Kluyveromyces lactis: one gene and its partner. The protein of the gene in region 2 purifies or fractionates together with the protein of the main gene of each other region. This does not show direct contact. Links are inferred from orthologs where the notes say so. Each region holds a gene or a part of one and is shown on either strand. Other genes may lie near its edges. The genes, in order: VMA22 and VPH2.

Region 1 (16,201 bases), on a different chromosome or scaffold from region 2:
CAGACGATCAGAAACAGTTGGCTAATGATATGCATGACTCTCGTTCCAGAAAACAGAAGGAGCTCGAAATGAAAAGAGATGAAAGAGAAAGGATGCTAGTCACCATGAAATATAGCGATCGTAACGTTACCAGGAATTTCATGGAACTCAACAAAGATCTTTTCATGGCCATGAAACAAGAAGAACGGAAGAAAAGAATGACAGCGGTGCCTTTCAGCGTTCCAGTACCGTTGGGTAAATATCAACTTTCAAGTAAACATTTGGAAGAGTTATCAAAAGTACCTTTCTCCCTGTCGCAAACAGCGGAGAATTCTTCTGGTGCTCAATCACCTTCGTCTAATCCTCCAGACTCTGCTCGCTCTGTGACACCACAAACAATTATATCAGCATATAACAATTTGGAACAACCAGGCAATGTAGGCTCAGTTTCTACGGCAAGTGCGGATGATGTTAACGGTCAAAAATCGTCGTTACTGAATTCTGAGCACAAGGATCTGAACGGCTCTGTGAAAAGAACATCTTCGGACATCGGTGATCGATCTCAAATGTCCAACGAAGCAGAGGGACCACGTAAGGTCAGAATCTTGTCTATCTTGAATGATGATGCATCTACTGGTGTAAAAACAGAAGAGAATGGCTCGGCTAGACCTCATCTGTTAGACATGCCAAATTCGACTCCTCAAGGATCTGCAGACGCATTACCAAGTTCTCAATTATCTGTTGATTCGACAGAAAACTCGCAGGATAACTTTTCCGTCACCACTTTACAATCTGGTGGTGAATCACCAAATAAGAAAAGGCATCTAACATTGCATGATCGTCGAAAGATGAGCAGGATGATTCCGATGTTACCAGAAAAGAAAGATAAAAGGGGAAGACCAAGCTCTAACAATCAATCCCAAGAAAATGCAGCGTCTTTGTTAATGTCATCCCCTGTGGAACTTTACTGCCGTGAAGGTTTTTTTTATAGAAAAGGTTCTACAATTCCAATCACAGCGGGAGAGTATTTGGATTTGAAGTTCAGACACAAAGAAGACGAATTGATTAAATTAACAATGCATGAAGAAGATTACGCCGAGTTAACAAGACAGGATAGAATCAACGCGTATTTCCTTAAACCAGACGTTGAGATTGAAACCTCAATGGCTTGTCAAGTTTTGTCCAATGTCATATTAACCGAGAGATACGTCAATTCATTAGAATATTTCCTGATGGAATTCCGTTGGGAGAATAGATTGGTAAGTTTAGGTCTAAAGCTAAGAGAATCTAAGAGAACTTGGCAAAGACGGAAAGCCTTATTTGCATTATTTGAGTTTTGGAGAGACAAGTCGAAAGATAAGAGAGGTTTCCACAATTATACATTGTTGCATGCAATCAAAGAAATGGAAAATTACAGAGTCTTCATCAATAGGTCGGTTTCATGGTTTTACAACCACATTACCCTTTTAAAAATGATTCTTTTTGATTTATGTGATAATACGAATACTCATTGGAGAGAATGGATGTTCGCCAGAGGCACTGAACTACCGCTTGTTGGTAAAAATGGCGTCGATGTCATGAATATTAATAGAGAAATCGATAATATTTTGGTTCTTGATTTCCTAGAAGATGGTAGCAAAAATTCAAACAAGAAATCAAGTTCTATTCCATACAAAGAAAACAGTGAAGGCCCTCTAGAACAGCCTTATGTTACGAATGATGTTCCCGCAGACAAGGGAACAAAGGAATTACACACTGAGCATGTCCAACAACAGTCAGAAACCCCAGTTCCGGAACTGGCTGGAAATAGAACTGAAGAAAATACAAACCATGCTACTGGGGCGGTAGCTGTAAATCAAGATCAGCACTTACCTTCTTTACCGAAAGATTCAGAAGATGTGAACTCTACGCAATGATATTTATGCACATAGATCATAATGGTTCCTTTTTGGGCGCTGTTTTTCATCAAACCTATTTTAACGGACATTTTATCACTTTATGGAACAAATAGTAAGGTATGTACTCTATAAATAAACTGACAATTATTCTATTTAGATAATATTGTTCTCATACTCAAAAACATTGTGACATGGCCGATTGGATGAAGTTTAAAGTTGTATTTTTCAACAGTTGGGCTTTCAAGTAAGGATTGTACTTCATAGTATGTTATAATATCTTCAAGTATAATTTTTTCGGAAAAGACATTACAATAATCTACCAAAAAAAAAATCTAGTAAATAATGAAACATGAGCATGAGATGAGGTATGCTGGACACTCAAATGGAAACAAAAGTTTCTGTTGAATCACTTGTAAATACTCCTTCCAAATTTGCAAAGCAAAATAGCTATTTGAAAGGATGTTAGTTGATTTAAACGTTCCTTGGCCACAGAAGGATTTTGCAACACCGCCTTCCACGAAGGAGATTAAAACGCTGCACAAGACTCTAGCGACATTGCATACACTAGGGTACACTCACATAGCTTTAAATTTCACAGTAAACCAACAGGATAAATTCCCAAAATCAATCAATGATATGAATCCTATCGATCTATCGCATTTTGATGAACTAGTGAAATCTACGGGATTAAAGCTATATACAAGAATCACAATTATTATAGATGACCTTTCAAAAGGCCAGCCGTTGACAAAGATATCGCAAGCTTTCGATATTGTGGCAGCCCTTCCAGTCAGTGAAAAGGCTGTTACTCTCGTAACGTCTAGCTTGGATGTTGATGTGCTATCATTTTACTACGACAAAAGGCTTCCTACACTTTTGAAACATCACATGATGGGGGGTTGCATTAAGAGAGGAGTCAAAGTAGAAATTGTTTATGCTAACGCTCTTCGAGATATCAGAACACGTAGGCAGTTCGTATCTAACGTGAAGAGTGTGATCAGAACTTGCAGGAACAGAGGAATCGTGGTCAGTAGTGGAGCAACCAGCCCACTAGAATGTCGTAATGTCATTGGAGTTACAAGCATTTTGAACTTTATTGGGCTTCCGAATGACAAATCTCGTAAATCCATGGGCGAGCTTGCTAGTTTGGTACTTCTAAATGGTAGATTAAGAAATAAGAGCTATAAGCAAGTCATTTGTATTGGTAACGAAGATGTAGTCAATGAAGATTTTACACAGAATTCATCGTTCAAAATAGTCAAAAGGAAAAACCCAGATACACTGGAAAGTGATGACTCGAAAAGAACAAAAAGCTGAATTACCATGAACTTAATTTTCATACTGCACTTCTACTGTTGAATCTCTCGAAGCATTCAATAGTACCGATAATACGATATATAATAGATTTTATATTTATATAAGGAAAATAGTACAATAAGCATTAAGCAAAAGATGGATACAAGGTAAATTTAGGAAATTATGGGTAAGAGTAATGATATCGGTGATTTCAATCCACTTTGAGTTCATCTTTAACATGTCCAATTTTACGTTTAGTTTCCAAAGTCAAACTTACTATCAAGTTCTAAACCCAAAGTTATTTTTCATTCTAATATCTGTAAAAAGAGCAGGTTACTGTTACCCGCAACACATACATGGTGTAAATCCGATCAAAAGCTCAGCGGCTATTGAAAAGAGTATAAAAGTATCCAGCTTGGAGACTTTACGATTTTCTTCTTCGAATCATAAACCGCCTTACATAGAAACGGTCTATTATATAAAAAACACAGACAGTACGTAAGGCAGTAACTTGGGAAAACAAGTGCCACACAAAGTTAAAATGGGCGAGGTGAAGAGTTACTTACGAAAATGGAGACGCTCTTCCATTCTTAAAAGAAGCAGTTTGAAGGATAAACGGAAAGAAAATTGGGAACAACGTATAGAGAAGTCCTTGAGCGAATGCGATGACATTAAAAACTTATTGGCTGGTCGTCCAACGACACCTGATATTGCAAGAACGAATAATAGTACATTCCTTTCCAAGCGCTCTAGGGCTTTTGTTACAGAACCGTTATCGAACCAAGAATTGGATAAAATCAAATATATGAATTTTGCAATGGAGAGAGATTATAGAGCAGGTACTAGGCCAGTGATACCGAGAATGGATTCAACCAACAGACGAAAATTGAGCGTAAATCTCACCCCGACATCGATTTCAGCAGATGACTCCGAGAATAATGCGATAGTGAAAGACTTTTCTGAGTTCATTGAAATTTCTTTCAATAGTTTGAGCATTTCCGATGAATACACACCCCAACCAAGCTTTTCCAAAGAGTCCGAGGAACCTAGAACCGCCAGTTCTAAGAGTCTAGAAAGTCTATGGAGTAAAAATGTGAAATAGTCGTAATTGGTAACCATGTTGGGTCAACTAATGACTTATCTAACCCACGAAAAAAAGCCGTAGAAACTTGAGAAAAAATAACGGCCGCCAAAAGAAAAAAAGAAGACATGAAACCCAAGAAAAAAGAAAAAACCGGATTGGCGATGGTGAATTAGAGAGGTTAGAAAACATTAATTTTCGATCAACGAAACGTATCTGCATTCCTGAAGAGGGTGCGAAAATGAAAAATCGTGTTTTTACCTAATATAGGAATTCCTAAATTAACTGAATCCAGTAGTAGTTAACCATAGATGCGAAAAATGTCAGAAAATTGTGAAACCTAGGAATGCATGAAACATTACCACTGTGGACGCGGCCGATATATGTATATATAAACGGATAAACATGATCCAGGGTACAAAGGCCATGATTTGAATCATCAGAAACCAGGCATTGCCGAATAAAACAACCAACAGATCTGGGCCAATACTTATGATGAACGTACCTCAGATCAAGTCGATCTGGCTCGATGAAGACGATGAAACAGAAAAATTATATGGTTTACAAGCTCACCAGCTTCTGGATTCTGACGATGATGATGAATTGGGCGTTGTAATGATCAATAGTGATAAACCTGTCTTAAGTAATAGGAAAAACATTAATCTTCCTCCATTGCCGCCAAATGCGTATGATAAACAATCTGGAAAGAAATCTTTCAAGAAGAAGAAGAACAGCCTCTTAAAACTGTTTCAAAATAAATCAAGTAAAGAAGAACCTCCTAAGTTAAAAATTTCTGTCCCATTTGGATTTAATCACATCTCACATGCAGATTCTAAGGCAGGATTTGAAATGCCTACTGCAGATTCACCACCACCATCTAACAGTCACTTACAGGATATACCGGAAAATACCAAATTTCCGACAAACTCAACAATCAATTCCCCAACGCAAATGACTAAAGCTTTCGTAACAGATGCAATTCCATATGCTAAACACCATCTGGTTTCTAGAGGGTCATCTACAAAACGTTCTTCGGTTGGATCCAGTACGTACTCGAACCAAAGAGTGACATCAACTTCAACAATGGCTACCTCCTTGCTAAACGATTCGCATATGCGTTCCATTTCAAAATTAACTACCCTAGAGAAGACACATTTGAAGCATAAATATTCTCAATCAGATGCCAGTGAAGTAGATGTCGATTTCCTAAAAAACTATCAGTTCCCAACTTTGCTAGAAGAACAATCAATCCTCCAGGTATCAACACCTGAAACGGGAGACAAGAAAATAGACAAATTCCAATGGGAAACACCAGTAAATTCTGCGGATCTTTTAGAGACTATGCTTTTGGATGACTTGAAATCAGTACCAAAAAAATCAATTACACCAAAGCACTCATTGAAAAGAAACTCTGATCCAATTCTGACACCAATTTTAAGGCCATCAGAATACTTAGACTCTCCAAGAACCAGAAGGTCAGTTGATGATGTTTTATTATGCTATCTACAGCCTAGTGATGCTGGATCGTCATTGGATGAAAGCTCTAGTGAGTTTTCCTACGCTAGAAATTCAAACATTTACTATAAATCTATTCTATGATCTTCACCCGTGGCCAGGGCCATTCCATTCACTTTCACAATTGTTCTCAAGAAAATATACCCATCTTTCACTCGTTATTGCATTTACTGAAATCAGCTCTCTTTTTGATACAGATTAACCCTTCGTCGTTCATTTATTAATAATTAATCCCCAATCTGCATGTGTACAGATATACACTCATTGTACGTCTTTCAATTGGCGCCATCCAACGTTATTTTCGTTTCCAGTAAACTGTTCTTTCCAAATTAGCAATTGTACAGATAGTTTTCTTTTGTATTAACTCTGATATAAGATCATTCCCATAGCAATTATAAAGTTCTTAAGCTGAATTTGACAGAGTCCCTAGTGCGTCAAGTAGACCATTAAGAGTACGTCGAAGTTCTAGTAGTTGATAAAGTACCGGCATCGAAGCTTTGAAAGATAATTGACATTGTTTCAAAGAGCTTGGGATTGAAAGGGCACCTCCGAACATATATATAGGATCCTTCTTCACCTTTGCCAATAGTTTTTCTCTTTGTTTTCTCTTCTTTAAATTCTCATTGGTTGCTTCATCTTTCTCAGGAATGATTTCTTCGTCATTGGCAATATGCAACGGCTCTTCAGTCTCCGAAACAGAGTGCTTGTCATTAATGGAGATATACCTGTTTCCTGTATAAGTTTCGTCCCAGTAATCCTTACCATATGATCCTCGAAGTGTGTTCTTATTGTGATAATTCGCTCTGCTCAACTGATGGTAACCTTCTTCAAAACTAGCTTGCAACTGCTCTAATAGAGAATCATAGGTTGCAAGATTCTTAACAATGAGTTGATATATGTCATCCTCCGTCATCATTGGTTTCCTAGCGTCTATTAATATCCAAATCGTGGCAGTTTCTTCTCATATTACGTATATTATTCAGTCATAAACGTTTTAAACCAAACTTTTGAAGTTGTCTGAAATATTTGTAACTTAATCATAGTCAATGATTTATATAAACGAATTCGAAGGTGAAAGAAAGTTAGCAATATTGCGACAAACCAGCTCCAGTAGAGGCAAGGAAGAGTGTACAAAAATGACCGATAGATTAACCCAGTTACAAATATGTTTGGACCAAATGATGGAACAATTTTGCGGTGCAGTAAATTATGTCGATAAGAACCATGGTTTTGAACCAAGTAACGATTCAGAAGAGCAGATGTCAGATCCTCAGGCCCACATTGTTGAGGAAAAGGAATTTGAAAAGAACATAGATGAATTGACAACAGACATCATACTTAAAACAAGGCAGATAATGGCTCTAATAGATTCTCTACCCGGAGTAGACGTATCTGCACAAGAGCAACTACATAGGATAGATTCACTACAGAAACAATTGATCAAAATGGAGAAGGAAAAGATAGACGCGATAAAAAGGAAGGACGCTTTGCAAGAAAAAGTAAGAACACTTACCCAAGACTTTACGATTGGCATTAATGAATCGAAGACAGAAGCACGCTTAGTATAAGAAAGGAATCATTTTGAAATCTTCGGTAGAAATTGGGTCACATGTTAACGTCAAATTGCGAGTAAGAATACTTTTACATAGTGTCTAATGTATCAAGTGGTATATAGTAGATATTTAGCTTCTTTTCCTTTTCTTCTTCTCCGAAACGATGTCAGACAGATTGTCTGACATCGTTTATTTTTATAATGACACGCAACATCATCACTAAACATAGCATCCGCATGCCCCGTCATGCCACCACCGCTCGCTGTGATATTCTTGGTTCTATAACACAGAGAACTGTGAAAGAATGATCACCGCAAATAATAGAGAGGGCATATACTGGTTAACGGAAAGATTTCTGTGCAGGCTGTAAGTAAAAATGTATAAGTGCAGGATCCAACCTAAAAATGCCTCCAAGGTGACTTCTCTTTTCATTAATTGGTTTGCAGTGGTATTAAGTAAAGTATCTTCAAAAATATTCCAAGATAACCAGGAATATGCTTCCATGAAAGTGTACACGCCCACAGATACCGTAGAAGTTATCCATAAGATTTTACCGATTTGGTTGTTATTGTCGAAAAGAATCGGCCAAGACAGGCAATCAGGTGGAGACATGCTCGTATTATCGATGTTTTGCCTTTTGTTCAATCTGAATTGACCAACAACGTACTCAAAAGCCAATTTATAGAAAGGGTATTCAGGGGCCCATTTGTATTTCTCAACAACTCCAGCCTCAGGCGAGCTGACAAAGTCAATATAAAACAATGCTCTATTGACTCTGGCAGGATCGACACAGAGAACCTCTTGACGCCTGTCACCCCAATGCGGAATTTTGATTTCATGTGAAAGCAACGAACAACGGCGAGCTGGATTCTTTAAAACAATGAATTGTTTGAAAGGTCTCAAAACTTCTCTGAATGATGCTTTCCCTTGAATTTCAATTTTCCATAATTCATCTTGATCCCCTTGATAGTCACTGTCACCCGTTACTGATATTCTCTTATCATATTCTTTGTCTGATATTGGAGGTTTTTCCTCAGAAGCTCTCAATAATTGACCTGTTTTCTTGTTTCTCAACTTCACCTTGTCCGTTTGTTTTACTAATGCGTTCGAACCTGTCTGTTCAGTGTTTCTTCCTTTATTAGATTCAATGATCCAAAAGTTAGCCTCATCATCTGGATCGTCAGAAACTGTTACCAATGTGTCGTTAGATTTAGGGTATGGTATTTCTAAGGCTGATAGATATCCGCCCAAAGAATTAACATGGCGAAGCCTAATTGAACTGCCGTAAATGATGGAAGATGGAATATCATTGTGCTGGCTCATCGAATAATGCTGGAAAGATGACGACATGTACGCTATTGAGTTTGACGATGTTGTGAAACCACCAATTAATGATGAGTAAGAGTACCATAAAGACATCAAGGGAATAACGACGAAGAACAATAACCTACAAAACATAATGGCAAAAAGTTGTCTGTTTTTAACATCCAAATCACCCACAACAATCCAAAGTGATTTCAAAGAAACTATAATGAGCCATATCCAAGAGACCAACCCTATGAATTTCCCACTTATAACGAAAATCAATGACATCGAAACAAGTGTTATATTCATGTACCAATCGACGGAAAAGTCTTTGGAGGCCTGAAATTTCCTCCAATGTAAGATTAGCAACGTTAAGGCTAGCAAATGATAAGAGTCAAAGTTGAGCGTATAAATTAAATCTTGGAAACTTGATATCTGCGAGAACATTATCGTTACTAGGAAGCTAATCATTACTGACACGCTAGATTTCCTTAAAATACCGTATAACGTTACCAGGACGCTAGCCAAGACCACGTTATTTGCTGTTTTCCAGAACTCAATATTCAAAGAGTACATATCAGTAAGCTTCGCCAGCACCTCAATTAATGTTGGTACACTGGTTGCAATGAAAAACTTACCCTTTATTCTATCAGTAATTTGATTCCAAATCTCAAACTCACTAGTAGAAATATCGCCATATCTATCAGAATGAACCATTGAAAGATAACCAACTGTTAAAGCACTCAATGCCAGGTCCCAGACGAGGCTATCTTCATATGGTAGCGAATCACCTTTGATAAATGACTGGTAATCATGTTTGATATAGGCTTTAAATCTGCCTTTTCGAACTGGGTTTGTACTCATCGTTAATCTCTGACCAGGATTGATCTCTACCTAGCAACAGGATCCCGTGAAGTACACTAAAGATTGATATTGTTTCTAGCCAATGAAAACAAGCTTGTTTGGATCGAATGTGGTAAGCATCAGTTCACTTTCCAACGTTAATCGAGGTTCCTTTATTTTTGTATCTAAGGTGGTCATATGAATCTATTATTAGTTGAAATATTTCAAAGTCAGTTCAAATGACTGTCACGTGAGAGAATGATCTATTTTAGTTTCGCAGCACGATGGATGCCACCGTGAACCTCCACGCATACACTGAAAGCAACTCGGAAGTTAATAAGCCACTATCGATCCAATAGATTCATCAACAGGTTTGTTCTCGAGAGCTTTTTCGCGTTTGTGTTTGTTCGAGTTTTCAAATTTGACACAAAATATTCAATAAAGACGTCAGTTTTATCAATATCGTAATCACTAAGGATGTCTGTCCAAAAACAAAACGGCTTGAACCTGAAACTAAACTTATGAATAGCCAATAGTTCAGAGTAATTTCAACCAAGTCATCAACTATACAATGAGTAAACCCAGGCTTGGAAATCCGAATAAGTTGCCACATGCTCTTGGGCGGCAGTTTCTAGATGAAAATTCGAGCACAACGACAGATAGCGAAAAAGAGAGTTTTGACTTCACAGCATTGATGAAGAGGTTGAAAGAAACCAGGAAGACTACAATGCCAAGAAGAAATACCAAGGAAAATTTGTTGGCCACTACTCAACATGATTTGAATGAGTATCCTTATCCAATTAACAAAAACAATGAGAATCAGAATTTGGAAATGAATAATAGCGATTTTGATAATGATGATAGCAAGGAAAACGATACAGATTCCGAGATAGAACTGTCATGGAGGCCATTAGATGAGATTGAATTGAAAAGAAGAGCCATTAATAAAACTGATAAACTTTTTAAACCGATGGGTGATTTGAATGGCGAATTTACATCTGAAAAGATAAGTGAAAAATGTGCTAAACTTCTTGGGTATCCTCTTCCTGATTACATCAAACGTCCACAAAGAGTTAGCTTAGTTGAAAAAGGGAATGTCATTGAATTCAAGGACTATCAAAATCAACAGAAGTCCCTTTTTCACAATAAAGATTTCAAATTCGAGTATCCTGTGAAGCGTGGACATGAAGAGGGTGAGGACGATAAAGAGTACTTTCAAGTAGAAGAAGTACTTCGAACCATCAAGGAAGACATAAAGCAAACGTATTCTAAAGTTGATAACATTAACAATTTCATTCAAAGTAGGATTGATACCGGCCATAAAGAAGCCAAAGCAGAAGAGAAAGAGAAAGAGAACAACAAGATAAGAGAAGAAATACCAGGAATGTTCCCGCAAAAAATTGTATACCTCAATCACTTTATTGATCCTCCTGAAAAACAGCCAACTTATTTCAATGCGCTTATGAACATGAAATGGATAGTTTCATGGCCAGTGAAATGGAAAGTTGCTTATTTTGTCACCGTACATATTTTGTCGTTCTCAGACGAACAATACACTTTCTCAGGTAAATCTTACGACCTACTGACTAATACCAAATACCTAACTTTATCTGAAGTTGATAGGCTTTTTGGTTGCTATATGACTATTTACGTGATATCAAGAAACATATATGATATTACTTTCTCCATCAGGGAAATCTATGATTATGCATACCAATACTTAATGGAATATGATGAATTGCATCCAATTTTGAGAAAATACTGGAAAGAGCTATTCATATATGGCCTAATGAATGCGATTCTTGTTTCAATAGGAGCTTCTGCCATACATTTATGTTTGGCTCCTGATGGAAATTCTTCTCCGATTTACACCTGCCTCTGGCACATAGGATTTGGTTCTTCCCAGAGAGTTGGATTTGCAGTAATGCTCATAATATTTTATATTGATTTGACACAAGAGGGTTTGAATAGGTTTAAAAAGCAAGCGGATGATCTGAAGGAACAGGAAGATTTGGCACAAAGAAGGGTGAACAAGAATCAGAACGCTAACATTTTCAAAGATAAAAGTACGGTAATGAATTTTTGCAAGAGCAGAGACGTAGATGAAGACATTCTTCTGGAGTCAACCCCGCCTTTGAACCCACCATCAATTTTACATAGCCCCTTGCTCAAAAAGTCCACAAAAGTTGAACAGAACGAATCAATAAAACTGGTTTCTGTATCAAGTGTCGAACACTTTGAAGAAAGCTACGTTCCTCTTCTGAGAGAAAGATTAGATGAAGAAACCAATAAAAGCAGTAAAACAATTCCATCAAAAAATTTTCTACTTAGTACCATGGTAAAGATAATCGTATTTACATCAACCTTCCTTCAGCAACCTGTTAAGACAATGAAGAAGTTAATGCCATATAAAATATACAATTCTGTCAGAAAGGCAATAAACGCCCCAACTTAGCTAATAAAAAATCATATATACACAATATAACCACATTTTGCTCACCAACGCAGTAGGTCTCCTCAGTAAATGCTCCCTTTACTGTCTTCAGTATCATTTGCCTGCCGCATAAGTAATCCTTTTCTCATCATTTTGTGATTTTAGCTGTCTCTGTCATACAATATCATTCAATATCGGTGGTATAAAACAAGAAACCTTTATTTGAAAAGTTGATGATAAATAATGAACAAATTGTAAGGACAATGAATAAGAAATAGATATCAAACTAAATCATCTGGGACTACGAATCAACGTGAATCGTCATCATGGATGAAGATGAGAAGAAGGACATGTGTCCTATCTGTAAAACAGACAGGTATCTATCGCCTGATATGAAGTTTTTGATCAATCCAGAATGCTATCATAAAATTTGTGAATCATGCGTGGATCGTATATTCAGTTTGGGTCCTGCTCAGTGTCCATACGAAGGGTGCGATAAAATTTTGAGAAGAAATAAGTTCAAGACCCAAATCTTTGATGATGTAGGTGTCGAGAAGGAAGTTGATATAAGAAAACGTGTTTTCAATGTGTTTAACAAGACGCTGGAAGATTTCGATAACAACCAAGACGATTATGATAAATACCTAGAAGAAGTGGAAGATATTATATACAACTTAGACCATGGTATTGATATGGAGAAGACCGAGGAGAGGTTACGAACCTACGAAGAATTAAACAAACAGCTAATCATGGCAAATTTAGAGCGGAGCAAACAAGATGTCGCTAACTTCGAACAGAGACAGAAGTTTGAAAAGGAAATGAAGTTAAAGAAAAGACTACTAGAGAAACAGATAGAAGAAGAAGAGAGGGCTAATAGGGAGTGGGCAAAGAGAGAAATTGTCAACCAGCTCACAGTGAATGAAGATGCTGAGGAAGTTATTGAAAATGTGAAAAAGACTGTCAAGCTAAAGAAATCCTCTGCCAGAAGGAAGCTCGAAGAATTAAATAAAGTGTTAAGAAACAATCCTTACATGACAATGACAAATGGTAGAATGAAGAAGAAAGATACTGTACCGTTCACACCATTCAATGGGGACAGGGATTTACACAAAAGATACGAATTGGTTGAAAACGAGTATAATGATTCTTTCATCAGAGACTTACAAAAGAAGAAGGAATATATAGCCTCAGGATTCAGGGCGGACTTCATTTATGATAGAATGTTAACAGAGGCATTCATGGGTCTTGGTTGTATCATTAGCGAAGAATTACAATCCTCTTAGTTGTATCGCGTTGACGGCAAGTGTTGATAACTCTTCGTTTGATACATCTCCTACTTTATTCAATTTGTAATTCTACCGAAAAAAAAAACACATAGTACAATGGTAAAGAGCTCGGTAGCTCTTTATCCTCATCATAATCATATAGCATTTAGGTTAGTAATCTATTCATTATTAAGAGTCTTCTCATTTGTTCATAACTTATCACAAGGAATACATACCGTTTTGATAATTTCTTTATCGGCAGATGTAGAAAACTCATCATCCGAGACTGGAACTAGGTCCCCATCAACGGAAGCATTGCCATCATAGGGTTCTTCATTACTGTCTTCAATGATTTTGATCACAATTATATCAGTTGTTCCTTCCTTTATACCAAATCTGTTCAATGCATCGCCAATGTTCGAACTAGGAGATAGTGATAAAATGCATTCAGAATGGATAGTTCTTGTCCGCATTCTATTGTACTCTGTTTCCAAAATAGCCTTATAGATGGCACTCGACAATTGTTCAACGGATATCACAGTTTTGGAGTCGATGTATGCAAAAGGTAATTCAGCCAATTTGGATCGTAGCTCAGAAGAATTGGTAACATTGTTATACTTCTGAACATGAATAGTATACTCCTGAAACTGAGGAATCTTGTACTTCAAAACTATTCCAGCCATTTGTCTTGTGATGAGCTCTTGGAACTTCTTGGATGCAAGTCGCCTACTATCGGTCCTTCTTTTAACTTCACTTTCTGATTATCTGTACTGTTACTGACTTACTATTTAAATCTTTCAAATCAATCCGAGTAGTTTCTAGCGTAGAAAGATTGATAGAAAACCATGAGTACACAAACTTTACAAAAGGTTCAGAACAAGAAAACACAATAAGTGATCACTTTGCTATATCAACGGTATATGTACTGTCAATGGAGCTTCCAGACGAGGAAAACGTTTGGGATAGTGTTTTTGAGGAAAGGCAGTTGAGCGAAGTAGTACGGGATCAAGGACCAAATGATCTCGAACGACCAGCAGCGCATAAAGAACCAATTGCTACCGAACAACCACTGGGGAATAAGCTTGAGAATCAGAAAGATGATGATGATGACGAATATATTAGAAAAGTTCGTACAGCTGTAGAACAATTCGAAAAGGCAGGCTTCTTCGAGGATTTAGACGATACTAAAAAGGGTTCAAAAACAAAAGCCATGGTATATAAGCTAGCAGACGAGGTGATAGCCCGACATAAAGACAAACTCTTACGCATAAGAGACCCAAATTATGATAAGTGGTCTGAACCATTAAAAACCCCCATGATAGATAAATATCATGAAATCAAAGAAGAATGGAGACGTGAGGAAACGAACCACGGTTCCAGTAGTTTAAACAACAGTTCAATGACTACACAGAATGTTACATTTGCATGGAGTTCAAATGCTCATCGACCGGAGCTGACCGCACCAAAGAAGCCTTTGGAACCGCATTCCAATAAGAAATCAACAAATGAAATACTACGGAGTAAAGCAATGAAAAGCGCTCATGAATTAAGAAGTAAGCAAATTCTGCTCAATAAACTGCGGGATAAAAATGATAGAAACAATCTGCCTTCACAGGATGGTGATGATGTCAAGCCGAAATTTAAAATGGATCCCTTGGAACCATTTGTCGCCAAAGCTTTACCGAGAGAGAAGAAGAAGCGACCAAAGGAGAAAAGGAAGAGCAAATTTTGGTTTTGGGGATCCCTTACCCATCATACTGACGAAGGAAACCACAGAGACAAAGCTAGGTCGCCAGAGCTTGAAGATTATAAAATTGGTGTTGTATCACCGAATTCGCGGTCCCCCACGTTATCGATTCCTTTCTCTGATCCCGATAACACTCAGACTATTACCAATAACGCAGTATCGGACAACATTAACCATCACCTGTCGCTAATAGACCTCGACGATGACGAGGAACACTTAAAGTGTTCAACGCCACCGTTAATACTGTGATACGTACTTTTTTTAGGCCTAATATATTTATTTCTCATCCTATTTAAATATCATCTACATTAGCACTGTAACTATATACCTTTTTTTGAGCCGGCGTTATTATAACTTGTTCTCTGCGTACCGGGGTAGCCACGATTGCCTCTGGTATGTGGTTGGTGCTCATATGACCCACTTGATTGCAATTTTCTGCTTGCTCCTCTCGTAGTGCCTTGTCTTCCTTAAGAACATCTGTATACGTTGGAGGATCCTCTGGCAAGGAACTTTTCTTCTCATCAGGATATTGCTTCTGATCGTCTTGAGACATCTTTCCGTAAGTTTGAGTTTAACTGTTTACGACTCCGAATGTTGGTCCAAGGGAAATCTCAACTCTTCGAACAGCGTCGGTTCTGATTGCCATTAAAATATATTGTCGTTTCTATACATTATAAATGGTTCAAACAGGGTCCTTGATGTGCAGATTTCCCTTTAAAACCTTACAAATGGCGTAATGCTATATCATCATATATCAGATGTAAAGATGAAAAGAAGGAAAATATGATATCTAAGGTATTCCAGGCTTTGTTAGATTCAATTTTTCATTATGTGAGGTGGCATAGCAGGTAATCAAGACAAGTCGGAAGTTAATCACCTACCAGCTAGTCGAAGGGCAGCTACTCCCTGTGTACTTGAACCTTTTTAGGTCACGTGCAAAAGAGTTTAGCAGTCAAAATAATCAACAGTTCCGGGTAACAGACATTTGTTTGTTCAACATCAGTAACTTTGAAAAATTTTGAAGATTCGATGAGGTTTCAGTGAGTTTATTGTTAGCTTTGACAATAAATTGAATGACGATTAAATACGGGTTGATTTTCTGCGATAAGTTCGTGTGATAGCATACAGCTTCTCAGCCAACCGAAAGGATCATTAATACTCCATCCACTATGCTAGCGAGTGCAGCATCTCGTAAGAATGCCTTGAAGGTAGTGCAACCCTCTTTGAACTTTGTTCGTGGGAAAAGAACTAAATCGAAAGGTGGATTAAATCCTCAAGCGCAAAG
Region 2 (16,299 bases):
ATGCTGCCTCAGCTGCCTCAGCTTCAGATACCGAATCTGCAACAACAACGACTACAGCAACTGCTGCTACTGGATATGTGATCTCGATGAGAAGCTGTGTTTGTTTAAACAACATGGCATCGATATTGAACATGATTGATGAAGTAGAGAAAAGTTTCCAATTAAACCAATTGAGTGAAGAAGTACGTGCTCACGTGACCGACGACAACAATAAGAAAATCAAATCGGAGATTAAGGGCCAATTGTGGTCAATAGTTCCGATAGCCGCCGAAGGTGCTCCTTGCGTCGGCGGAAAGGATAACCAGAGCCCCAGATACAGTTTGTCAATTGTCGACACGGCCAAGCGGCATGAGATATACAGGACGCTAGTTGGCGGCTTTCCCGAATGGTGGGAAGATGAGGAGCTAGATTTAGAACTGGAACCTCAGGAAAGAATGTCCTTGTCACTTGTTTTATGGCAAGAAAAACAAGAAGCTGGAGCTAACCGCCAGCGCCGCCATCGTAGACAGCGGAAATACAACTCCGGAACTGGTACTAGGACATCAGAGACACAAGGGACCGGCGGCAATGGCGGTGGCGGCAATGGCAGCGGGGTTCCCGTTGGTCGGTGTTATTTAGATCTTGACATGCCAAGGGATATGCTGAAATCGCGTAAAAACGAAAGCGGACTGGAAAAGTCACTTGTCTTACCACTAGATACTCAAGGGCGTATACACGTAAGAGTATGCCTCGAAGTGGAACGTGCAGAACCTGATTGTATCGTTGGTAAGACACGTAGAATCGTCGCACGCATATTGACCCAGAGCTTGAAACAAGTGACAAACAGATTTGAGCCATGTATTAATGACTCATTCTCCAAGAAGTCATTGAGCATGTCTCTTTCATCTTCAGTCCCCGGACAACGTCCGACCGATGATGACATCTATGACAGCCTTGTCCCACTCTTCGATCATTTGAACGAGAACTTGACAGTATTGGCGCAAGCACTTCCTACTGCGTTATTACACCAGATTATGCTACAAGTATGGAACAAAATCCTTGTTGCTGCAGACGCTCTTTTGCTTCCGCCATTGCAGCTCGCGTCAATATCGTCAAGTGCAAATTCAGAGTATAATTTTGGCAGTAGAGGCAACAGAATGTCTTACAGCGGTTCAACCAGGGGCAGCTCCTCCGTTTGGGATACCGCCGTGTCCGGATTCCAAAAAGTGTTACAAAAGCCGGGATTCACCGGGTGGTCATCACCGTTCTCCAATAATTCCAACTACAACAACACAGTGGGAACCTCACTAGAAGTAGAAATAGTATTCATGTGGATTGATATTCTATGTCGAGACTTCTTCCACAATAACGGCGAAGGTCCTCCGTTAGACAAATTGAAGAACGACCAATACCAGCAACTCATGCTAATTGCCAGTCTGTTCGACAATGAAACCTGTGAATTGAAACAAACCATAGAAGAAGAAGACCAAAGGTCCGTACCTTCTCTATCGCAATCGGTGATGGTCGCTCTGCGGATATTGTGGTCGCGTGGCGACCACAAATACGTGATGAGCCAGATTCAATCACGTGACCGTGATATTCGAGCCGCGGTGGCAAAACTCAGAATCACCTCCAACGACTAGTGATTATGTAAACCTACCCGTACCTTCTCCTTTTGGTTCTGTATTGTGATAAGGAAAATCGAGACAGAAATGGAAAGGTTTTGCAGGGAAAAAAAAAAAAAGAAAAATGGAACCTAAAAGGGTAAACGGAATGTGCTTCCTTTTAAGGTTTCCTTTATCGAATGCCGTTATCTCGATGACTGCATAGACGTTATTCCTGTCTAGGCAAGTCAGCTCAGTGGTGATCATATTACATGTGGAGAAACTGGGCATCTTTTATATCTGGTAAGTGACAGCGAGATAACCACATACATATACATTTATATATATATATATATACAGTGAAGAGATGTATCAATATTATACAAATGGATATGACCACTATTGAAGTTAGCTGAACAATTGATCCAGCAAAGACAATTATCACTGAAGTTACCAAATCCGTTAAGCAAGTACGTCAGGGAAATCATAACATATCATGTCTTTCACAGCTACTCAGGAAAAGGTTAAGAGCGAAGAAGTTGGCACCTTGAGTGCACGCACTCAAGGTGTTCACAACCTTTCATCTGGTGGAATCAAGTACAAGCATATCAGACCACAGTTCAAGGACAAATACGAGGAGCGTAGACATACTTTGGAGCATATGGCTGCTGTGTTTAGAGCTTTCGGTAGACGTGGTTTTGGTGAGGGTGCTGCTGGTCACGTGTCTGTAAGAGATCCAGTAGACAGAAACACGTTCTGGATCAATCCTTTGGGTTTACACTTCTCTCAGATGACAGTGTCAGCTCTAGTGCATGTCGATGAGGAATGTAACATTTTACCTGATGGGAACCAGGCTGCTATCAATGCTGCAGGTTTCAAGATCCACTCTCATTTACACAAGGCAAGGCCAGATGTTAATGCTGCTTGTCATACCCATTCCACGTATGGTAAGGCATGGTCTGCGTTTGGTAAACCATTAGAAATGTTAAACCAGGATGTTTGCATGTTTTACAAGAAGCATACTGTGTACGAGTCGTTTGGTGGTGTGGTATTGGAAGATGAGGAGGGACAAAGACTGGCTGAAGCATTGGGTGATAACAAAGCAATCATCTTACAAAACCATGGGCTTTTGACCGTTGGAGAGACGGCGGATGAGGCAGGCTATTTATTTACCTTGATGGAGAAATGTTGCCAAGTTCAGTTGCTCATCGAATCGGCAGTCAGATCTGGTCTTGAAAAGAAATTGATTGGAGATGAGGAGGCTGATTTCACATATTTCAACACTTCGGACCCAGAAACATTATACACAGAGTTCCAAGTCGATTACGATCTCGAAATGGAGCTAACCAACGGGGCATTCCTCAAATAGACTGCCTAACTAGTTATTAAGTATCACATTCTAACGTACGTACATATAATGATGTAAAATAATGATTACATCACGTGACTCTTGTCGAAAGGAACTACGGAGGCGGAAAAAGTAAGCATTAGGAGTCCACCATTACACTTGACCTTAGCTACCGTACCCCCTCTCAGATCAGTAAAGCTGCCATTTCGTTCTGTTTACTGATTGTGTATTTACAAATATTAAATTCCAACGAAATGTCGTCTAATGTCAACTACTTACTAGAAATGCCTTAAACGAACACAACACTACAACAAGCAAAGACTGCCAAAGTCTGTGATTCAAAGGTGCAGGCTCCACGTCTATCTGTAATAACTATGGGTAAGAAAGGCTACTATGCCGTTGCAAATGGCAGAAACGTTGGTGTTTTCGATTCATGGTCTGAATGTCAAGAATCAGTAAACGGTTACTCGAACGCGAAGTTTAAACGATTCGATACGCCAGCGGAAGCTAGAGCATTTGCCAACAGCAGCAGTAGCTCAGGACACTCATTCCCATCTACATCGTCCAAATCCTACAGGTCGTATTCTGGATCCAGTTCAGGGTCCAGTTACGGGCACTACGGAGGCCATCAGCAATCTACTTACAACCAAGCACCCTACAACAGTCACAGCTCCTATAGTAATTACCACTCAAAAGCAGCAGCAGCAGCGGCAGCGCCACCACCACCACCTTCATCTTCCTCATTCTATGCGGTGAGAAGTAGTGACAGCTCAGTACCAAACAAAGTGTTTACCAACTGGGCCGATTGCAAAAGCTACGTCGAAGGCCGTAGAAACCTTTCCTACAGGAAATTTGACACTCCTTCTAAGGCAGACGATTTCATACAAGGACGTGCCTCTAACGAAACGATATATTCGCATCTCAATACTACGGCGTCCCAATTCTCACAAGCTCACAAAATCACACCTGAACGCCGTTCCCAAGTCCGTGTCCCAGCAGCACCATGCAACGTTTACTGCGATGGATCCTCTTTCAACAATGGATTTGAGGGTGCAAGAGCCGGGTACGGTATATATTTCGAGGGCGAGGATAGAAGAATCGCAAGACCATTGACGAATGGTAACCAAACCAACAACAGAGCTGAAATCTCTGCTGTATCTGATGCTCTCTCTGACATTTGGGACAATTTAAAAGAGGGCAAAAAACTGAACAAATATGTGATTCATACCGACAGCGAATATGTCTCCAAAATGCTTAACGATTATGCGAACCATGTGGACCCACAACAACTACAAAAGGCCCCAAACGCAGATCTAATTGTACCAATGGTCCAAAATTACACCAAAGTTAAACAATTCTACGAAGTGAACAAAGACGTTGTCAAAGACAACGGTCTCGAAGTGAAATGGGTCAAGGGACACGCCGGTGTTCCAGGAAACGAGATTGCAGATCAACTGGCTAAAGAAGGAGCTATGAAAAGGCATTAGATAAGCGTAGAGGAATTACTTGGACCCTGAGTTGTCAACCAGACACAATGAATATCAAAGTCGAAGGGGGAATGCAAAGGGAGAGAGCAAGGGTCCAACTTAGAGAATGCCAAGCCATCTTTCATCACCAAATAGACACTAGATGATTATTAGAGTGATGATTAGATCCCTGATGAGCATAAGGCTATGAACTATTACCACATAAACCCATACACCACATACTGAACACAGAAAACTCCAACTTTTCACCAAAGTTTCTCAACAAAAATAAAGGAAAGAAATGAAAATTTGAAATTTCTTATAAACGTCATCTTAGTTTCCAAAACAAACAAACATACAGATAAAAACAACTCGTAGCAATAGGAGTTTCATAAAGGGTTTCCAGTTCGTTTTCTGCTATTCAAGAGACTTAGTTTATTGGCTTTTGATATATATAAGCTAAGTACAGGAGCTAAATAAAAGAAGGTATCTTTATTTCTTTGACTAGCTAACAATACGGTTTTTTTGAGATCCGGTTTTTAAGGTCATATAAGGAATCAGCTGTTTAAGATTTCCGAGAGAAAATAGGGACAAATAAGCAAGCAATGGTTGTTCAGTATTCAGTTCCAGTCGGACCTGCTGCTAATGAGCATGAGACTGCTCCAAGAAGAAATGCTTTGGCGAAGAAGGCTCCAATTACGAGGCCTGCCGGTATGAAATGTTCTACTGTTTATGAATTTGCCGTCGAATGTTTTGAAAAGAACGCTGACCTTAAAAGTGTTGGATGGAGAGATATCATCGACATTCATAGGGAGAAGAAGATGGTCACTAAGAAGATTGACGGCAAGGACAAAGAAGTTGAGAAGGAGTGGTTTTTCTATGAATTGAGTTCGTACAAGTACACTACTTATAAGGAGTTGAATGAGTTAGTTCATGATTATGGTCGTGGGTTAGTGAAATTGGGGTTACAACCGGCTTCTGAGGATAAATTGCACATCTTTGCATCAACATCTCATAGATGGATGAAGACATTTTTGGCTACGCAGTCTCAGGCCATTCCTGTGGTGACTGCATATGATACTTTGGGTGAAAAGGGTTTAATCCATTCCATGGTTCAAACCGCTTCTAAGGGTATGTTTGTTGACAATGCATTGTTGTGTAGGTTGCATAACGCTGTACAAGAGGCTACAAACTTGAAATATCTAATCATTTCTGAAGAGTTGAACCCAGAGGATAAAAGGGATGAGGGTAAGCTTTACAAGGACGCTGCAGACGCATTGGCTAAGATTAAAGAGGTTAGACCAGACATTAAGATTCTTTCCATGGATGAAGTCATCGAATTGGGTAAGAAGGCTAGAGATGAAATTGAACCACATCCTCCAGCCCCTGAAGATTTGTCAGCTATCATGTACACTTCCGGTTCCACTGGTGATCCAAAGGGTGTCATCTTAAAGCATTCTAATATTGTTGCAGGTCTAGGCGGTATCTCTTCCATTATTAGTAACAGACCAGAACACGTTTGTCACACAGATCGTGTCATTGCATTTTTGCCCCTGGCTCATATTTTTGAGTTGGCTTTCGAATTGATCACTTTTTACTGGGGCGCTACACTTGGTTATGCGAACGTTAAGACGTTGACCGATGCATCTGTTCGCAACTGCCAAGGTGACATCAAGGAGTTCCAACCAACTATCATGGTTGGTGTTGCCGCTGTTTGGGAAAGTGTTAGAAAGGGGATCTTGGCACAAATTAACAAGCTTCCTGCGTTAACTCAAAAGGTGTTCTGGACAGGTTACTATGCCAAATTAAAAATGAAGAAGTTCCACATTCCAGGTGGTGACACTCTAGGTAACATTTTGTTCAAGAAGGTCAGAGAAGCCACCGGTGGTCATTTAAGATTTGTGTTGAACGGTGGTTCCCCATTGTCTAGAGAAGCACAAGAGTTTATCACAAACTTGATTTGTCCAATGTTGATTGGTTATGGTTTGACTGAAACCATGGCTAACACAACTATCTTACAACCAGAACATTTTGAATACGGAGTCGCTGGTGACATTGTCGGTAGTATCACTGTCAAGTTGGTCGACGTTGAAGAATTGGGCTACTTCGCAAAGAATTCTCAAGGTGAAGTCTGGATTAAAGGTGAACCTGTCACTCGAGAATATTACAAAAACGAGGAAGAGACTAAGGGTTCTATCACAGATGATGGCTGGTTCAAAACTGGTGACATTGCGGAATGGACTCCAAAGGGTCAATTAAAGATTATTGACCGTAAAAAGAACTTGGTGAAGACTCAGAATGGTGAATACATCGCATTAGAGAAGTTAGAATCCGTTTACAGATCTTGTCCATTTGTTCAAAACATCTGTGTTTACGCTGATCAAACAAAGGTTAAACCCGTCGGTATCATTGTTCCAAATGAGGCTGCCATCACCGAGAAGGCTATCAAGATGGATCTACTGAAAAAGGGCGAAGATGTTACCCATTTGTACCACAATGACACTTTGAAGCACGAAATCCTCCAAGAAATGTGGAAGGTTGGCAAGAGCCAAGGCCTGAGCGGTATTGAATTGCTCCAAGGTATTGTTATCTTCGAAGAAGAATGGACTCCACAAAACGGATTTGTCACATCTGCTCAAAAACTACAAAGAAAGAAGATCCTTGCTGCTGTTCAAGACGATGTTGACGAAGTTTACTCTAAGTCAAACTGAATTGACAATGTCCTGTTTGAAAGGCAAAAACCATGTAATTCTCATGGTCTTCCCTTTTTTTTATCGTATCGAATGTCAAATTTTTCCTTGACAAACAAACTATAATGATTTCCACAAACTTGAGACAGCTATATCTACTAACTTACTTCCATGTCCGGCGTATAATGTATTATTACGGAAGTAAAGAGAACCGACTGATGAAATGCTTTTTTTGGCAAAGTTTTTAACTAATTGGTGTATAGATGCTCTATAACGACTTTTAGCATTTAACTCATTTTAATTATTCTAAAACAATAAGACAAGCATTAGTACACCACATGTGTCTTCACCTTGAATTGAAAGAGAATATTTGAACATGCATTTTTGTAAAAACATAAACTACAAACGTCGTAATATGTATATGATTGAGGTAGCACCAAAACTCAAAATTCTCAAACAAGTTCCTTTCTCAAAACATTATTGAAGAAAGAATCATTATCCCAGTACAAATGATGACCAGCATTAGGAACTATCTCCAACTTGGTGTTGATGCATTTTTTCCTCAAGAAATCATTTATTCTCCTGGCACCATTGATATCCATCCAATCGCTATCACCGTACAACCACACCCAATCCAAATGACTGCTGTTGAAGTTCTCTTCAGTAAAGAGTCTTGTCTCTAGAGGAACTCTTGGCCATCCACCGCAACCTAACATGAAAGATAACATGTATTCTCCAGATCCAGGTTGGTTGAAAATACCGTATGTGTAATGGTGCAACTTATCAAAGTTTGGATGATGCAGACCGAATCTACGAGCTGTCCACCCACTAACTAATTTTGAGCCCACATGGCCAGCATTTCGAACCAACGAGAACGGTGAAATATTTTGATCCCATAGCTTTAAAAACCACCATGGAGGAGGGGGCATATCTTTGTTCCTGGAAATTCCTCCAGGAGAGCACATGAATAACTTTTTGAAATGTTTATACTTGTTGGCATAAAGCGAGAATATGTATGCACCCATCGAATGTGCAATCACGTAATTATTTTCCCAACATGATATAAGTCCTTTTTTATCGAACCATTTGTGCAAGGCATCATGGAAGTAGTCTTCTACCGCAAGATACGAATCCTTTGGATAATGGAATGGGAACATTGGTCGCGAAGAGAAGCCATAACCAGGTAAATCGATGGCATGTACCACCACGTTTTCTGATAGCAACGCATTAAAGTTTTTCAAGTAAAAACCTAAACCAGCACCATACCCATGAACCAAGATTATATGTTTCAATGGTTTTCCATCACTTTCTGGCCGTATCGGTGTGATTTGAAATTCGTTAATGTAATTACCAGCAGCATCTATAGGAGTCTTGATGATTTTGGAAGAAAACCTCGCAGATGGCTCAGGATAGTACGGTAACACTGATAATAAATCCTCTTGGAATTGTTCTTTATTGATATTGTATTGTTTATAATCTTTAAGAGACTCTGCGAAAGATAATGGGAACAACTTATGCAGATTAGTAACAATCTGAAGCAGGGGAAGACCAATAGGAGCAGTAGATTTACGTACTGTATTAACACGAACAGATTTCTTATTCGTGGAACCTACATTACCAGTACCAGCAGTGACGCCTACATGCTCTCTTTGTAGTTTATTGAACACCCCAATGACTTCTCTGTAGCGTCTTGCTAACCTCCAAAGCTGGGAAGAAGAAGACTGGCTAGACATGTTTTAACGCTTGATCGCACAACAAAGTAAACGGATTCTAGTAAAACTTTTAATTATAAGGTAAAGCTTGTAACAAACGATCGTCTCCAGATCAATTGAGCTATAACTCTTTCACCACTATGAAGAAAAATCACATAAAAAAACCGTGAACCTGAACAGGAACTTTCAAAAGTGCGTTCTTAGTGAAAAGAAAAAAACACCAAATGTATCTTCACTGGCTCCTGAACAACACCTTATATTTCAAAACAATAAAGTCATCTCATGACCATCTATTCGTAAACCAACTGCTCTTCTCTTACTTTTACGTATGTTGAGCCTTTCCGATTTCTCAACATCCCAACAAATTCGCAAAAACCATGCGATGCTGAAGAGGGAAATGGTGTTACCCGACCATTACGTTATCATGAGTAGACACGTGACCGTAAAGATCTTTAGGTGTCCTCGCTAAGGTGATGATCGGTATCACCTGGTGTTCGGTACCGCTCAGTGGTTGTATTTGGTGTTGGGATGATCGTATCTCCAAAGCCTGTTGTGGAAGGAGTAGTTGGAGGGATTGTTGTAGCTTCTGTTGGGTTTTGTTGTTGCGGTTGATGATGATGGTGGTGATGATGGGTATTCTGATGTTCTGGATCCGTGTCTGATTCAGAAGCGTCTCTGGTAGGCGTTTGAACTCCTGTACTATTTCCAGTGGTGTTTGTTGAGTTTGATTCTTGACACCAGTACCTATGAAATTCCCATGATTTCAGTTGGCACAGTCTTGAGCAATATTTGGTGCGCTTACACCTTCTACATTTGGGGAACTGTTTTGGATGATCTTCCCATTTCCCACAGCTGAAATTAGCACACTGCCTGACTCCTGTAGCCTCATGTTTCCTGCACGAGTTTCTCATTACCACGGAGCTCCAGTAGTGCACGATTTCGTTTAAGGAGCCCTTGACGGTAAACCTTTCTACAAGGGCGAATAGGTTCATTGTGTCACTATTGAAAATCTTATCCCAGTCATCATCGGTCAATTCTTTCGAGAATTCATGCTGCTGGCAATATTCCTTGAATTTATCATGTAACGACTCCTCCTTCCTCAACCTGAAATCAAATATATCGACATTGTTGTTGTTATATTCTTCATCCTCTTCGGTGTCTTTCACAAGGCAAAGATGCTCAATCTCTTTGAAGTATTTTTCTATTAAAGTGAGGTCTGGTGAAAGGTCCATCTTATCCTCCGGAGGTTCATCAGTTTCTTCGTCGTATTCATCGTCGTCTTCATCATCCGCTTCTTCTTCGCCGGCAACGTGCAACGTTAGGGGTGTCATGTCCAATTCCATATTTTTTGACATTCTGATCTTTGCATTCTCAAGAATCGGCCTGAACGAAAGTGTACCGACGAGATTTGTATTCTGTAGTATTGGCTTCACCGCAGTGTTTTTAGTCAAGAATGCCAGAAGTTGTACAGCCCATGTAACATCATCTAGCTCTGGAATCACTTTACCCAAAAAGAATCTTCTTGGTGGCAAGATTATGACATTTTCCAGTGCAGAGCCCGGTAAAGGTACACATAACTCTTCTTGAGCAAGACTTTGCCAATCTGTATCCAATTCTGTAATAAAGTTAGGTTTCAAATGTAGGCCAGCTACATTCTCCAAGTCAAATTCAAATTGGTTCTCGGTGGGTCCCAATAACAATTTCAACCTTTCCATCGATATGAAATCCTTATAGTAAGAGTCCTTGGGATCCACTTTCTCATTTGATTTCCTCAATTCATCGTCCGTAAACTGGAATAGATCCGAATCCAAATCTGCTAGTTCACTAAACGTAAAGGGAATGGCCGTATTGTTGATGAAATCGAAATTCTTACAATAGATCATATAGTTATCCAATACAGTAGCAATAATCGGAATTATGCCGGACTTCACCACTTGCTCTCTTATACCAAGTGTACCTCTCGTACCAGTCAATACCAAACACTGATAAGCCAACGTCCATTTCCATGATAAATATGCCAGATGTCTGTCTCTCTTGACCGTTTGTAATGGATTGGATTGATTCTGTGCCGAAGATACCATAACCTGTGGCAAATTCGTTATAGGGATATAACATTCGTGTAAAATTGATACCAACCGCTCCAACGCACCGTCACGAGACATTGCCTCTCTTATCAGGGTCGACGTGGAGCATAGGAACGCCAGATGGTTCAATGAATTAATTAATGGTAAATCAGAAACATTATCCAAAGCTCTTCTATCGTAAACGGTCTGAGATATACTAACGGTAGCACGATTACCAGTCACCGATCTGTAATTGGTCTCTCGCATTCTTTAAAAACCGTAATTCCAGCTAATGCACACCAGATATGATTATATTATCTGGAAGTAGGTATTTATCGCCACCCTTAATACAGGCTTCTATCAATGGTTTACTTTGCTTGTGTCAGATTAAATCCTTTTATCGGTATAATAATCAGCTCTGAGAAGTTGAAAGGAAACAAAAGACACTGAAATAGTACAAGTAGCACGATCACTTACTAGCCGATCTATCTATCAACAGTACAGTAGCAGCAACTAATTTCGTGATGGTTTCTTTCTTATCCAGTGCATATATTGTATTTGCCATTGCATAGACAAATATCAACAAAAACATCTCAGTTAAAGATAATTAATTTAAAGGTTTAGTGCTAATGAAAGAAGAATGGAACTTTGAGAAATTATGAATGAAATAGCAAACGAAGTTATCTACTAGGGTCTGTATCTACTGCAAGGCTAGCAATAAGACAATTCTACATATGTTTGACATTACCATCGACGAGGGGCTCTTAAGACAAAGACTTGAAAAGTTGAAAGAAGATCATCGGGCATCGTTAAGTTTACAACAAAATAGCATATCATTTGAGCTTCTATCGGAATTGTACCAACAGTTCTGGAGGGATGATGCCACCGTAAGTATGAAACAGCTATTGAAGAGTGGGAAACTTCGATACAAGGAGAAAAGAGTTCCTGGTGAGGGATACTCTGAGTCATTCAAAGCTGAGTTGGAAAATCTGAAGGCACTGCAACAGGAGAAAGAGTACCAAGAGATGCTCAAGCGAGATTCATTGCATCTGGCCGGCTCAACAGCTGACAAGGAACCCTCAATTGCACAGATTAACAAAGAGATTAAGGAGCAGGTATCGGCAGTAGTCAATGTATTATTGACAGTGTTCGGAACCATCTACGCTGTTTGGTACGTGACCAGAACAGGATGGGATATTCACGTCAGGGTATTGCTCTGTCTATTCAGTGGCCTTCTAGTGTTAACAGCAGATGTGGCAATGTACAACGTTTATAACAGGAAGATTGAAGAGGCGAGAACCACCGAACGTAAGAAGAAAGTTACTAGGAAAGTGGTGAAAAGGTTAGTGTAAGAAAGAGACTTTAATTTCGGTTATACAGTCAGTATGAAGAGGGCAAGTAAAAGTGTAATATGGATAGCCAGAGGTATGGGGGAAAATAAATTCTGATTTCATTTCCGGTCAACGGAAACGGCCAATGGTGCGGCAGGTAAAGAGTCTAGTGCAACACGTTTAGTTCTTTTCAAAGTTTCAATCGGTAGAGCTCCAGATATTTTTGGAAACACGCGAGTTCTAGTACGAACAGGATCTGGCAACTGACTGGCGTTTTGCCAAGTTTGGTAGAAACTCCACTTCAACATTATCCAATATAGCCTCCAGAAATTAAAATCTGGCCATAGACAGTCGACAAACTCGATAATACTACCTTCATGGACCTGCCATAGCATATAATCTGACAACCTTGTGTGTCCACTTGTTCTAATCAATAGATCACATTTATTGGAGTACTGTTCGAAATACATGTTATCAGTCAAGGCTTGTTCTGTGATATCCTCGTTAGAATTGATGCATTTGTCGGTGGTAACCTGCATAGAATGTGCAATATCGTTACGCGATGTGTAGGGCAAGGCAAGGTACAACACGAACTCTTGTCCATCACGAGTCAATTTCTCTGCGTTACGAATCTTCTTGAGCAACTCTTCACTCAATAATGAAAGATCTCCTACGACTCTTAGTCTAATTCCGTACAACTCATCCTTAGCATTTGTTGCACGTTCAGTAAACTGATCGATATAATATCCCAAGAGTTCCATGAGAGTCGCGACTTCCTGAGGAGATCTATTGAAGTTCTCAATGGAGAACGCATATGCACTCACACTACTCACATTCAACCTTCTGCAGATATGTAAGATGTCTATTAATGTTGCGCCTCCGGCTCTATGACCCTCTTTCACAGGTTGATCCAATTTCTTTGCATAACGGCGGTTCCCATCCATGATAAACGACAAGTGTCTGGGAACAGGACCCATCCTGAGGATCCTTACCATGAACATTTGTAGCCATGCAAATAGCCTTGAGAATGGATACGATCCTACATCCTTGTAATTTAGCCGCTGACGTATCTGTTGCAAACTTAAAGAACTCACTTTATTGAGGTTTTCATCGTTCTGTTCGAACAAGTGAGATACATTCTCACCATCCAATGTGACTAACGGTTTCTCTTGGCCCTTAGACCCCTTAAATAGCTTAAAAGTCATCGCTTTTGCCTTGTTTGTTTCCTATTTTCGTTCTTTACGAAGTGGTTGTTAGAAGAAATAACTAAGCGCTTTCAAATCAAAAGATCTTCTTATATATATATATGTATTAACCTATAACGGTTTAAAACACGAACCATATAAGGGGACAACGATCTTTGCCGCATCCTGAAACGCCTGAAACATGTATGCGACTTAGTGATACATTGGATGAATATTAAAGATCAACTGAATAGTTAACTAATTTAAATTAAAACTGCATTAAAACTAAACTAAACGCATCAGGCTTTCACTTTTGCATAAACCTCTTGTTATCAACAAGGTAGTTGTGATCTTATAAGAACCTGCTTTCAACTGAGTATACCAATTTCAATGTTTGTTCCATGAAGGTTAGACATAAGACTGTATGAGGTCCAATTCTAAGAATTTGAGCTCCGAAACCTTTGTATAGCGCTGAGAGACCTTCGTTTCTCACTGTCTTTATGAAACAGTCAATTGGACCGCTGTACAAGTTGCCCTTTTGGTTATAGACTCTGGTTAGCACGACATCCCATGGATTCATGGCGACACCGACACCGAACCCTGCGATAGTGGAAGACAAAAGATGTAAACCTGTCCCATCGTTCATCAAGTCGTGTTTCAAGAGGAAGTTCTTACAGATGTTGTAGATAGGCAATTGAACAGCAGAACCGATACCGGTTCTTAGCATTGCTGCGTCAACACCTCTGAATAAACCTTTAATACCCTCGCTACGGAAGATAGTTGCCAACCCGTTGAAAGCAGAGGTATAATGCGTTTGTTGACCAATATGAATGGCGTTGGAATATGATTGCATCCTGGTCTTGACCAAGAATAATGGCGATCCGATGAATGCACCGACGACACCGGAAGTAGCACCGGCGGCAACGTTAATACCGATGTGCTGAACCTTGTGTGATTCCACGTTAGGGTAGAAAACGTTGTTAAGTATTCCTCTAATTGGTTCATAGAATCCCAAACGCGATCCGTTTAACGCTATTTGGTAAAGATAAGCACTGGCTAAACCTTTTTGCAACCCAGCGATACCTTCGTTTTTGAAGATAACTCCAAAGGCCTGAATTGGATTCGTGTATACTTTGGCAGCATTGGCATGTAACTCACCTTGCAATTGCATTCTGGTCTTAACACAGTCAAATGGATTCGTCACAGTGACTGCAATACATGCGGCAAGACCACCGGCCACGAAGGACCCAAACTTACTCACCTTGTGAGCGGCGGTTTTCTGATTATGTTTCTCTTCTTGTGGTTGGGACATCGCTGTGTACTTTGCTCAGTTCAGTTCAGTTCAGTTCTTCCTTATAAACCAATACAGTTTCAAAATCCAGTTGTATCAATTCAATTCAATTTAGTCAAAAGTCGAGTGGTTGCTTATTTCTACAATCTAACTAGATCTTATTTGCATCTACTATCAAAACTTCCTCTCTCTATGTCCGTTGTTTCGTTTCCTCCACTTGTCTATCTACGATCAACTAAAGAAGCCTACCCGAACAAAACTATTTAAGGCTGATACGTCACAATTGATGCATGTTACAGAATAAAACCAAGAAGCACCATCAGGCATATATATAACAGATTCTGATTGATGAAGTGTTCCATGTTGATACAGTTACCATCCACCACCAAGAAATATCTCCGATCATCTTCCACAGCGATTTCTCTGTTTTTCTTGTCGTGAAGTGAGAGAAAGAGCTCAGTGAAACTTTTTACTACAGGTTTCAATGTGAAATTAGTCACGAATCGTTCGTAATGCCTCGTGACTCGAAGCCGGTTCCGGAACAAAATATCCTTCTGCACCATCTAAAGACAGTAGAGGATTTTGCACGGTAGAATATTTCGCATTGCTTGAACGGATAAGCTATACAGTATCAATGATCGAGAAGATATGATATTGTTGGAAGTGTTTCTTGTGGATCATTGTGTCTACGAGATTTTTTGTGCAAAACCTCTGTTTCTTCGACACTTCCCACGTCCTCTGGATTATGAAGGGTGTTGAGCATTATTCGGTCACTCCTCAGACGAAGCAGGAAGGGAAGGATACGGAGCTTTGCGTATGAAGAGGCTTTATTAATTTCAGTACCGTTCCTGAATGCTCCGATGTCACGAATGTTCAGTAAAGTTGGTCGAATTTAATGCAATCCGGAATAGTACTTTATCATCTGTGATTAAACTTTGGAGAGTAAGATTGAAGAATTTGGAGTTAGGGATTCTCTAAATTATAGTAGTACAAAGACGTATTGAAATAAAGAAAGAAGATTATTTTGGCCGAGAAAACAAATGCTATGAAAATTTGGAACTATCACTATGATACTTTATTTAGTACTACAATATCACCTCAATGAGGTGTACAACGCACCGCAGTCCAAACAGTAGTATTTCACGTTTTGAGGAGCTTGATTGAACGACAGTGTTTGATCAGTTGCAAACCGTGTTCCTCCACATACATTACAAACCCTAGATTGGGAATGTGGTTGCTGTTGTTGTAATGTTGTTAATGATGAAGATGATTCATCGACTAATGGTAAAGAATCTTGCATTGGGAACGGCGTGGGCCTTTCAATTGAATGTACATTGTGACCATTGCTGCCATTACCGACAAACGTGGTTGCAGTGCTCAAACTACCATTGGTAGCAGCAGCAACACTGCTGACACCGGAGGTTCTTGGCTTTACGGACCCCTCACCGTTTTCCTTCAATTGCTTTTCAATGGCATTAAGCCTGTTTAGCACTTTTTTACGAACGTTAGATGATATATCACTCCGGAACACTCTAATCACACCTGTCGTATCAGCACTCACTACGATACCTCCGATAAATTCTATCAACGACGGTGGGTTAGCAGCTGTCGTACCATTGACAGCGTTTGTG

The links.
Region 1: the proteins of VPH2 (region 2) and VMA22 purify together in Saccharomyces cerevisiae (affinity purification with western blotting; 3 studies listed by BioGRID, with this or other methods). This does not show direct contact. The link is inferred for Kluyveromyces lactis from reciprocal best matches to the Saccharomyces cerevisiae genes VPH2 and VMA22.

What each region holds. Positions count from the first base shown.
Region 1 is NC_006039.1:1,285,112-1,301,312, forward strand, and holds VMA22 (Vma22p), read right to left. Parts: upstream 6,686-16,201; coding exon 6,173-6,685; downstream 1-6,172. Other genes in the region: SUM1 (Sum1p), read left to right, coding at 1-1,895; RNA-binding RNA processing protein RPP1, read left to right, coding at 2,337-3,194; KLLA0_C14740g (uncharacterized protein), read left to right, coding at 3,715-4,275; GIC2 (Gic2p), read left to right, coding at 4,747-5,853; SRB7 (Srb7p), read left to right, coding at 6,906-7,337; PMT7 (putative dolichyl-phosphate-mannose--protein mannosyltransferase), read right to left, coding at 7,602-9,491; KLLA0_C14850g (uncharacterized protein), read left to right, coding at 10,042-11,925; TFIIH/NER complex subunit TFB3, read left to right, coding at 12,231-13,187; CGI121 (Cgi121p), read right to left, coding at 13,379-13,852; LFT1 (Lft1p), read left to right, coding at 14,101-15,165; and 2 more. UniProt on the Saccharomyces cerevisiae protein: Required for V-ATPase activity.
Region 2 is NC_006038.1:1,119,496-1,135,794, reverse strand, and holds VPH2 (Vph2p), read left to right. Parts: upstream 1-11,596; coding exon 11,597-12,214; downstream 12,215-16,299. Other genes in the region: KLLA0_B13002g (uncharacterized protein), read left to right, coding at 1-1,622; KLLA0_B12980g (uncharacterized protein), read left to right, coding at 2,080-2,952; RNH1 (RNA-DNA hybrid ribonuclease), read left to right, coding at 3,306-4,418; long-chain fatty acid-CoA ligase FAA1, read left to right, coding at 5,003-7,108; CLD1 (carboxylic ester hydrolase), read right to left, coding at 7,540-8,820; MYND-type zinc finger protein MUB1, read right to left, coding at 9,252-11,129; SRT1 (ditrans,polycis-polyprenyl diphosphate synthase), read right to left, coding at 12,313-13,398; OAC1 (Oac1p), read right to left, coding at 13,730-14,689; KLLA0_B12804g (WD40 repeat domain-containing protein), read right to left, coding at 15,762-16,299. UniProt on the Saccharomyces cerevisiae protein: Required for vacuolar ATPase assembly.